3 linked regions of the Mus musculus genome follow. The protein of the gene in region 3 interacts with the protein of the main gene of each other region in a pairwise test. Links are inferred from orthologs where the notes say so. Each region holds a gene or a part of one and is shown on either strand. Other genes may lie near its edges.

Region 1 (3,654 bases), on a different chromosome or scaffold from region 3:
AGTGATAGCCACTAATTGCTTGCTATTTTAATAAACTAGTATGGTTTTAATGAGTTGCCTTTTTAAAAAAAAATTAGAACATACATCTAGAACTGAAGGTCAGATTTGGCTAAGGGTATGGTAGGGCTGTGGGTAACAGATGACTTTATTTTAACCTAAGAGCAGGACCTTCCTGAATTTTAACAGCCTATGTCTCTGCATTTTATTAATTGTAAGAGTCATCTGAGGGTCTTGCTTCCTGGATTTCCTCTCTTTATATTTATGAGAGGGACAGATTTACTCAGCCCAAAGTTCAGAGACAGTGTAGGCAACTTTTCTCATACAAGGAAGTTACTGTACAGAATTGGGCTCCATTCAAAAGCAGCAGGGATTCTCACAATGACAATGTTTGAAACAGTAGTTGACTGAGAAAATATAAGTAAAAAGATCAACAAAAGATTTTCTTAGATGGTATTAGTGCCTATGAGCAATGAAATCAGAAGGTTTGTCTCCAGTGATACTTTTGGCCAAGAGTCATTAAATCAGTATTCGTACATCTTAATAAACCAGATCCTAAGGCACAAACACACGCACACAAAAACATGTCTATGATGGTTACACGCTATACTTAATTACTAGCAACTATTGCATTAAATATTCTACATGCTACATCCTTTAAAAAGGTTTCTGGGTCCTGTGTACATGAGTCATTTCTGACTTGATAGACAGGTTTTGGATGGAAATCTCTTACTGCACTATATCTCCTTAAAGGAAGAACACACCAATTCATTATCTAATGCCAAATGGTCATCCCTGAAAACATACACACATATAATATAATACAGACCAGGCAGATGTATTTAGATATATGTATATAGATACATATATGTATGTAAAAACAATTAATGGAATAAAAAGAGGCCATGAGTTTGAAAAGGAGCAAAGAGATATATGAGAGGGTTTAGGACAAGGAAAGGGAAGTGGGAATTTAATTATATTATAATCTCATATTTAATTATATAATAATCTAACTTAATTATACATAAAATATATACAATTTAATTATATAAATACACATATATAATCTCATATAATTATATTAATCTAAAAAAATAAAAGAAATAGATTTTTAAATATGAATGGTAAGGGTACTTACCTGGCTTTATGATGCCTCCCTTGGGTTCTTTTTTATGACGAGCTGACTGAATACTTCCCTCACCAACCATTCCAATCCTGCATTTCTTCCTGGTAAAGTCTTCATCGCTTCCAGGGCAAAAGCCAATGGGACTGTGCCCTGTGTCTGAAGGAGTCTTCACAGGCGATACCGACTGGCTGCTGGGACAACCTGTGTCATCTAGGAGACAGAAATCCATGAGTTTTGAGTCATGGCACAGGGAAGCCAGCTATGAAGTCTGCACATGCGCATGAATGAGTGACTTGTAGGACCCAAGTAAACTGGGCATGGCTATTAGGATCCTTCTTTTGCTTTTTTCCATACTTTGGCCACTCACATTGGCAACGAAAATACTGTTTTAAGGCAATACTTAAAGATATACTATCTTAGTTAGAGTTTCTATTACTGTGACAAAACACCATGGCCAAAGAGCAAGTTGGGGACAAAAGGGTTTAGTTGGCTTACACTTCCATACTGCTTTTCATTATGAAAGGAAATCAGGACAAGAGCTCAAACAGGATCCTGGTGGTAGGAGCTGATGCAGGAGCCATGGCAGGGTGCTACTTACAGGCTCGCTCAGCCTGCTTTCCTATAGAACCCAGGACTATCAGCCACCCACAATGGGCTGCACTCTCCCCAGGTCATCGCTGAGAAAATGCTTCACAGCTGGATCTCATGGAAGCATTTTCTCCTCAGAGGCTTTTTCCTCTCTGATGACACTAGCTTGTATCAAGTTGACACAAAACCAGCCAGTCATACCATATAAGCCTTTTCATCATAAAGACGTCTGAAACATACATTTCTTACTTAAAGCATATGTCTACTTGAATATTTCATATAGTATAATTTTGGTTCATATTTGTCCACAGATTTTAGTTTTGGGCTTTGCTTGTTTGTTTTTGGTTTTTGTTTTTGTTGTTGAGACAAAGTCTCACTAAGTTTCCCTGGCTGGCCTGGAACTCACAGAAATCCATCTTTCCCTTCCCCCCAAGCACTGGGAAGTGTGTGCCATCGGGCCTTGCTGACCACAGGTGCTTGCATTGGGTAAGTAATTTAAAATTCAGAAGAAAAACTCAAGGTAATTAGCATGTACTTCTCAGAACTGTTTTTGTTAGGAAAATAAAATGACTTGAATATTACTGACATTGCTTAAGCTTTTTGATCACATGGCTCATCAGCTGGTTAGCAGAATTTCCTGTGAGCCTCTGAGTTTAAAAGTTCAAAGAAGCAGAAAGTCATTATATTATAAGCACATATATCCAACCAAAAATAGTCCAAACAGATCTACTCCTACTTGTAGTAAATGGGGAAAATAAATACTGTTTCATTATAGCTAAATATAACTAAGGTCATTCATTGTATTAAGCTAATGGGTACATTATAGGGTGACCAGTACAGGTACCTATTAAGAAACAGAAAACTCATGTGGGGTGGTGGTGCATGCCTTTAATCCCAGCACTCGGGAGGCAGAGGCAGGTGGATTTCTGAGTTCGAGGCCAGCCTGGTCTACAAAGTGAGTTCAGGACAGCCAGGGCTATACAGAGAAACCCTGTCTCGAAAAACACCAAAAAAACAAACAAACAAAAAAACCCAGAAAACTCACATTGTTGTCTCTTACAAATGCTTTCCTTATTTATTAAAGTATTTAGGATGGCAGATTCATTAATTTAAACTCTAGTGAGAATTACATGAGAATTTAGGACCAAATTAATGTTATTTTAACATACACATACTCAGCAAAATTTTAAATTTTTATTACTTAACTCCTTGTTACAAAAGAAAATTATTTTGATTTCAATTTCAGAAATTTCATTACTTTACCAACGTAATGAAAGTTTGTAAGATGATACATACCACTAATAATCTTAGAACTATTGAGTTTTTATGAGTGTTAGAGTACCACGAGTGATGTGCCATCCACCACTGGCTATCCTGGGTCTCCACAGCTGGAGTAAGGATGGCATGGAAATGGGGTTGAATGAAATCTAAGGACTTCACGAGTCATGCCTAGGCTTTCTCTAAAAAGGGATCACCATTGCCCCATTTCTGGCTTCTACTTGATTATAATGATGAAATATCCCAGTTCCTGGAACAAAATGAACTTGGCACGTCAAGACAATGTATTATTTATTGCTTTTTTTTTTTTTTAAATTTTGGACATATTACTTCGCATGGGAACATTTGTTTCTAGAAGTGAATGGTAGTTAGCACACTGTGTCTGCAAATGTGCTATATCCTTCCTTAGTTGCCAGTAACTTTTGGCCCTGTGACCCAGAGGTGGGCCCCTCTATGGGCTGAGACTGTCCAGCTATCCCATCACATGCTATCTGTGCCTTCCCCTCCATTTGCATGCCCTTGTTTCAGTGAAAATAAAAATCAGAGCTCCTCTCTCAGGGTGCAAATTTGCTTACTGGGTCAGATTCCAGCAATTAATACATATATCTGTATACTGCCTAAGAGAAACTTTTCCCATTCTAAAGGAGATGAATTCAAAATGAATG
Region 2 (3,654 bases), on a different chromosome or scaffold from region 3:
GTTCTCTATTTCTACCCGGGATCCAGAGACTTAACTCCAGCGGTCAGACCTGCGAACAGGAAAATGCTTTTTACTTGGTAAGCCGTCTCTCCGCCCCCAATTTTTAGTCATTTTTATGTAAACCGGTTTCTCTTTCTACAAGTGCTCAAAGACTGCCTCTTGGACACATTTTAGCATACCGAGAAAAAGTAAAAAGCTAACAAACTGGTAAGATCTATTTTTATCACCTTGTTTACCTGGCATGGAAATCCTGCCACTTGCTGGTGACTCTACTTCCTGTATAGTACTAAGCTCATGCTGGTTTAAGTCCAAGACACATTTAACTTTGGAGACAGGTGGCTTTGAGGCTCTACCACTCAGTTCTTTGGCCAGACTCTCACCTATCAAGTCAAGAAAAGGTTAAGCAAATCAAACTTTGTGACTTTTCTCCTGTCAGCTAGCTGCAGGGACAGGGTATAATCAGAAGATAACAGGGATCATCTTACCATTGTGCTCAGCATGGACATCTGCACGTGGCTGCTCACCATTAGCGCTCCCCTGACCTGCGTCTCCCCAGGTAAGGCCTTGGGTGTGAGGAAACCACCCTCCGAGCTGTTCTCTCTTCTGCATTTCCAAGTCATTCTCATCTGTGGGATTCCTTGCCTGAAAATATAGGTAGGGAAACGGGAATGTGGGTTAAGAGATCCCATGAATAAGCCATGAGATTGAAATCTCCCTTAAGTCGGAACCTCAGCTGAATGACTAATTCCATCACTATAGCAGTTTTGCCCCGTGTCTCTGTAATAGCCTACTTTATGGGCTCTACCAAGTACTTGGAAAGCACCATATATTTATCACTTTCTGTTGCTCTGTAACTACAAAGTCCCTGTAACTGTTTCCACTGTTGAACAAGCTATTTAGGGAAACCTGAACCCATATCCCCAGGTATAGCTCAGAATAAACAATCTGCTTTATGTTGACAGATGAAAACTGGGACGTACTTTTATCACTGAACGAGTAAAACTCCCAGTGCAAAGTTTGTACGTTACAGCCCCACACCAAGCACTAGATTCCTTTGCGCCTGTTAACACGTTAGACCTGAGTGCTTCCCTTTGCCTTTTTTCCCCATTACTTTCCCTTCATCACTCTAGGGTTTTAACTTCTAGGTTCAAGTACCTCCTGAACATCTAGGCGCTGCAGAATTGTTTGCACTAAGGAAGTTAAGAAGTGGCCTAAAGAAGAATAGACCCATTCTAACTAAATATGTGTCCGAGTGACGATGCCAGTTTTCTCAGCAACTCAAATGTAAGAAGTGTAGGTCTGGCTTCTATCAGATTATAACCATACCAACTATACCATTATGTCACTTAGGGAAAAACAGGACACAGATTTTGATTCATATACAAATGTTAACAGTCGTTAGAGAACAGGATCTATCACACTATAAGAAATCTATTAACCAGCCCTTTTTATAATTTTATCTGAGAACCCACTGCAACAAAATTCCTAAAGATGCATATTCTTTAATGTTTACTGTATTTTAAAAATGACTCTATAAAGTAGATATATTTGTTTCAATTTCTCAATTACTAAGTTACTCTCAATAACTAAGGAGAAAGTAGGTTTAGGATTAAAATGAAATCAGGTTTAAATATCTATTATGCTAAAGTTTTAAATTCAGAACATACCTGACTGACATTAAAGAAATTTTTCAAAGTCTCTCTGTGTCTTTGGATTTGCTGCTGTAAGGATGTCTGTCTCTGCACAAGCAATTCTTCTTGGGCTTTTTGCCTAGAGTGTAGAGTTTCTCTTTGTAGATTCAGCTGCTTCTGAAGACTCATGTTATCTTGCTGAGTTAAGACAGGTTGGGAACAGCTTAAAAGCCTGTCCTGCAATCTTGGGATCACAGCATCATTAGGAGCTGCATGCTTCTTGTCAGATAAATACAACTCACAAATGCTTTTAGATTTACTTTCTGCAAAAGGTAGTGAAATGAATGGATGCTCTATTTCCTTGGACAGAAACAAAGGAGGGAGGGAATGCTCAGAAGATTCACTTTTGTTTTGGCTCTTTTGTTTGTGTAAAAGCAGTTCTTTATGAAATACCTTTTCTAAGTCCAACTGCTCTGTCATGTTATTCTGCAGAGGCAGACGAGGCTGTGAAAAGCTCAGATACTCATCTTGGGACCCAAGCAGCTCAGTCTCGTTACTTTTAGTTGGGAAAGACTGTAAGGTCCCGTCAGAATTGGCAATGGGCAGTGCTACCTGGGATGAAAATAGAGAGGAGCTAATTTGTTTGGAAGATATCCTTTGCTCCAATTTATTTAACCTTTGCAAAAGCATTTTCTCTTGCATTTCCTGGCCAGATCTAATGGCTTCCCTTTGCATATCTAACTGCTGTTGAAGTGCCTTTAAGTCATCATGTTGAGGCTGGATAAAATGCTCAGCAGACATCTCTTCAAATTGACATGGTCTGGGAAACACCAACCCTTCTTGGGCTTTCTCAGTAGAGTGAAAAAAATTTGTTTGTGCATGAAGGTGTTCTGGATGTGCAGTCAGATTATTCTGCTGAGGTAAAGCAGTATGTGATAAACCCAATGTCCTGTCAGGCAACTCCAGCATCTCAGGATAACCTGAAGATATGGTGTCACTGTTGGTTGAACACAGTTCTTGTGCTCTTTCAGTATCAGAAACAGGGAATGAAGCAAGTGAATGTTGTGGTATCAGGGGAGAAAATGGACCAACCTGCTCTGGGAATATTTTTTCCTTCCATTCTCTTAGTGTTTCTTCATGAGCTTCTTGTCTAGAGTGGATGATGGCTTCCCTTTGTGTAGCTAATTGTTCTTGAAGGGCCTTCAAACTGTCTTGTTGAGGCGGGATGAGCTGGGATATCTTCGAAAGTCTATGCTGCAGTTCTGGTATCTGAAGATGGCTTGACTTGACTTTACTGTCACTCTCTGTTGAGAGAGGGTGCTGTGTGATACCAGAGTCAGCAGATGGCAAGGACACACACGATGGCAGTCTTAATGAGGCTTTGAAGGACGAAAAACCTGTCTGTTGAGAAGATGGATTTTCTGGAGTTAGAGGACTAGATTGAAAGCTCTCTTTTTCTGTGTCTACCCATTCTTGGTGTTCCTGCAAATTATCTTGGAGAGGGAATGTATGTTGTGAAACTCTAACTAGTCTTTCCCGAAACGCTGGAATCTTAAAATGCCTTAAGGGGTCTGTCCTATCACTTCTGACTGATACAGACCCCCGGGATGTTCCCCAGTCGGTGACTTGGGATGGAGAAGACAAGGCATCAGTCTGTTGAGAGCAGAGCCCCTTTTCTAATTCATTTTGCTTGGGAGCAAATTCCTCATTATTTTTTCTAGCACCAAGTATAAGCCTCTGAATGTGTGTCTCTTCCTGGAGTGGTGTAAAATGTTCTTGTCTTTGCAGGCTGTGCTGTGGAAAGCCATGGGTGATCAAATGACTGGAGAGAACTCTATTTTCTTCCTCAGATGAATACACGTCCTGGAGCCGCTTAGGTACTTCTGAAACTGCACGAGAAGCATCTGCATGCTGAACAACCACGGAGGAGAGTGATTCTACTGGCCCAGCCTCACTGTCTTCTGAACAGCTTTCTTTATATAAAAGTAATGTCTCTTGACCATCACGTCTAGGCGGAATCATA
Region 3 (3,654 bases):
ACTGACAAGTAATTACTAAAAAAATCAAGGAGGTGAGAAACAAGGAGAAAGGCAAGCAGAATGAGGTTAAATGCCTTTTGGGACAAATGGGATATTTAAAAACTATTACAAATATAGTTAATGGGTAGCTTAAATCAGTAAGTTAAGCTGTAAGCATAAATATTCTGCTGCTAACTTTAGCAAACTTTATAGACAGATGAAAAAAAAATCACAGAGGCTTGAGCCAATTTGATGTACTCACAGGAACCGAAAGAAAGTAGGACCTGTTATAGAGCTGTAGGAGGGCCTGAGTAAACTAGTTGGAAATAAAATATAAGAAAGACAACTGTTTCAGAACACTTTAAAGAAAATCCAATGTTTTCAGAGAGAATTTATCGATTATTAAGATTTTTCCTGTTCAATATGTGTAATAAAATAAAATGCAAAAAACCCCCACAAGAATCTAATTATATTAACTATTAAAATATCTTTTGTTCAAATTGTAAGGTCCCTTGGCATTACTAAAATATCCCTACCTTATCATTAATTATAACATCTCTTTCCAAAGAAAGAGAGGCAAGTTTATAACATGGAGACCCAATCAACTAAAAGTCACAGCTGAACTCGCGGTTTCTTTGCATGAACACACTGTATTAACTATACAGAGCCTGTGAAACTTTGAAGATAACGAGTCAGGCCTGATTCTCACCTTGGAACACTGAAAAACACAAAGGCTCAAAAGTTAACACACGCCTGCCAGTTGCTTATGTAACTAATGAATCTAGCTGTGATTCCTAGCATCCGTTTCAGCTAGAAGGGACTTGACGTCTGTGTAAAGGGTTACCTGCAGTCCAAGGTACGTCTGTGAGGAACTATGCACAGATTTCAAAATCTTCAAACCATAGAAACGTGGGAAGGAATACACTATAGCCCCAAATGAACACAGTAAATATTTGGGGGAATTTAAGTTTAGGGCAACATATAAATGACCTGCAGAAACATGTCAGTTTTAATAGTAGATTAAAATTACCTGTTGAACAAAAACATTGTTGAGATGGCTGGCCAGTCTCCGGGCGAAATGTTCCCTCAGGTCACTGAAGCGCTGCTGCTGCTGCTTGACGGCCAGGAGCATGTCATGGCCTACGGCACAACCACAGTCCCTCACTCTCTCGCTCGCTCGGGAAGGGTAAAGAAGAACGAGAAACACCTCTCCACAACGTGCGTGTGGCGGTCAGAGGACAAGTCTGTGGAGGCCTTCCTCAGCCTTCACCTTTACGTGGGTCCCAGAACTCCAGCTCAGATGGCCAAGCTGTCCAGCAAGCCCCTCTTGAGGACCACCTTGCTGGCCTCCCCTCCGTGATTACTATGCTCACCAACCCCAGGTCCTGGCACACCCAGAGCCTTGTGCATGGTAGACATACAGTCTCCCACTGAGCTGTAGCTCAAATCTGTACTGTGTTAATGATACCCAGACAACTTTTGAAGAATCGAAAGCTATAATGGCTTATTCATGTGCTTTGTAAAACTTTAAAAGGAGAAAAAGTAATACAACACCCTGGTTCGTCTTCAGTATCACCTGGCAACCACTAGAAATAGGAATTTTAGGACCTCAGCCTAGACCTACCGAGTGTGAGGATTTCCTGGTATTTCTAGGTTCCGCTGCCTAGGAACCCCTATCTGCTCCGGCCTGTCCTAACGTCTACCTGTGCTTGTCTGCTACGTCTAAAGCAGCAGCAACGCGCGATTGTAGCAGGGCAGCGAGATGGCTCCGGGGTGAAGGTGCTCGCACACACACCTGGGAATCTGAGCTCAACCCCAAGAACCCTAAAGGTGCAGAAGAACGGAATCTACAAACATGTCCTCTGACCTCAGCACGGACGCTGTTGCACACAGTGTCCACATGCACACATATGTGCACACACATACAATAAGAAACATGTCCTCTGACCTCAGCACGGATGCTGTTGTACACAGTGTCCACATGCACACATATGTGCACACACATACAATAAGAAAGCTATATGTTTACACAAGATCATGGTTAGAGTGCTGCATGGTAGTGCGTGCCTGTACACTCGGCACTAGAGAAGCAGGGGGGACTGTATGTGTGATGCCAGCCTAGGCTATGCTGTGAGAAGCTAACCCCCAACTAAACAAATAAAAACTAGATAGAGCATAAAAATACATTTGTGAAGGTAAAGATGGTCCATCAGAAGGGACTGAAATGAAAACGTTTAGTGTTAATAGGAATTTGTAGGGGAATCTGTGAAACTCATTTGTATAGCTAATAGTCACTTAGCCCAAGTTACTTCTTGTCAAAATATTTCTACCAAGTCCCAGTGTTAGTCTCGGTTCTTGGTCAGATTGTATCACGGCTACACACCTGGGCGAAGAGCAACGTTCATGCACTGCAGCAGGGCGTCAGCAGCGTTGGTGCAGGCCTCGATGCCTCGGGAAGAAACAAGATCTCCTTCCTGAAGGGCCTTTATATGACCTTTGGCCAAGTCCATGTGGTTCTGGAACACATCCAAACACACCACTTGCACGTGCAATTGTGGGGAAAATACAGGCAGGGCACTACTCACCTATCACTCAGTCTCTGTACCACTTTACATCCTGATCTCACAAGGAAGCTGGTTTGTAAGTGAGTTTTACATAACATCACTAGGCTTCCTGCTTTTGCCCTGCTGGTAGCCTATGGAAATGCTCACCACGAGGAACTCTATCTCGGACAGGAGCTTCACATTATTCGTGTTGCTGAGATGGATCAGGTGGTTGCTCTCAGAGATCTGATCCATCTGCTCTTTCACACTTTGGAGCATCTCCTCGTAACTGCTCAGTTTCAGTTCAATCTGGTCCACCTCCGTTAGCGCCTCATCCAGCAACTGCATCAGGGTGTTCACTTGTTTCTCAGAGGCCATGATTGACTGAATGTTGGCCTACAAAGTGAAAGGAAATGTAAAGGTTCCTGCTGTTTAGACGTGTACAGGAAGTGCAGAGGTGAGACGCTGCCAGAGCTCTCTGCGTCAAGTCAGCCAGTGTCTGGTTCACTTTCTCCACAGGATTTTGAAAGGCTTGCTTGCCTCTATACTGAGGTTTGAGACCACACTTCAGAAACTGTGCAGCGATATCATAGGCTCTGTTCTAACACCTCTGGAAGCGCTAGCTCCTTCCCCTCCCTCTCCACACTTGTCCTGCTCCCCTCTGGTAACTGACTCTAGCTCCTCTCCCCTCCCCACACTACCCTGCTCCCCTTTGGTAACTGACTCTAGCTCCTCTCCCCTCCCCACACTTGTCCTGCTCCCCTTTGTAACTGACTCTAGCTCCTCCCCTCTCCACACACTTGTCCTGCTCCCCTTTGGTAACTGACTCTAGCTCCTCTCCCTCCACACACTACCCTGCTCCCCTTCGGTAACTGACTCTAGCTCCTCTCCCCTCCCCACACTACCCTGCTCCCCACATTTATGTCAGCTACCTTTCTCTTGTGTTAGTAAATGCTTACTCTTTGGCAACGACCTATTCAGAGCCTAGGGGATTAAACCCTAGTGGTATCTGGTCATCTACTTTTTTATTCCACCATTGCATAATAAGAACACTCCAATATCTAAAGCCTTAGCCTTAGCCAAATGTCTTCACTGGAAATGGTTTTTAGTGAGTGAGTGTGTGTCTGTGTGT

The links.
Region 1: the proteins of Exoc1 (region 3) and Sybu interact in a two-hybrid assay, tested with the Homo sapiens proteins (2 studies listed by BioGRID and IntAct). The link is inferred for Mus musculus from reciprocal best matches to the Homo sapiens genes EXOC1 and SYBU.
Region 2: the proteins of Exoc1 (region 3) and Cep295 interact in a two-hybrid assay, tested with the Homo sapiens proteins (2 studies listed by BioGRID and IntAct). The link is inferred for Mus musculus from reciprocal best matches to the Homo sapiens genes EXOC1 and CEP295.

Annotation. Positions count from the first base shown.
Region 1 is NC_000081.6:44,717,653-44,721,306, forward strand, and holds part of Sybu (syntabulin), read right to left. Parts: intron 1,334-3,654; coding exon 1,136-1,333; intron 1-1,135. UniProt on the Homo sapiens protein: Part of a kinesin motor-adapter complex that is critical for the anterograde axonal transport of active zone components and contributes to activity-dependent presynaptic assembly during neuronal development.
Region 2 is NC_000075.6:15,330,269-15,333,922, forward strand, and holds part of Cep295 (centrosomal protein of 295 kDa), read right to left. Parts: coding exon 1,668-3,654; intron 643-1,667; coding exon 486-642; intron 381-485; coding exon 237-380; coding exon of another isoform or gene 228-236; intron 1-227. UniProt on the Homo sapiens protein: Centriole-enriched microtubule-binding protein involved in centriole biogenesis.
Region 3 is NC_000071.6:76,542,719-76,546,372, reverse strand, and holds part of Exoc1 (exocyst complex component 1), read right to left. Parts: intron 2,919-3,654; coding exon 2,691-2,918; intron 2,496-2,690; coding exon 2,363-2,495; intron 1,120-2,362; coding exon 1,010-1,119; intron 296-1,009; coding exon of another isoform or gene 242-295; intron 1-241.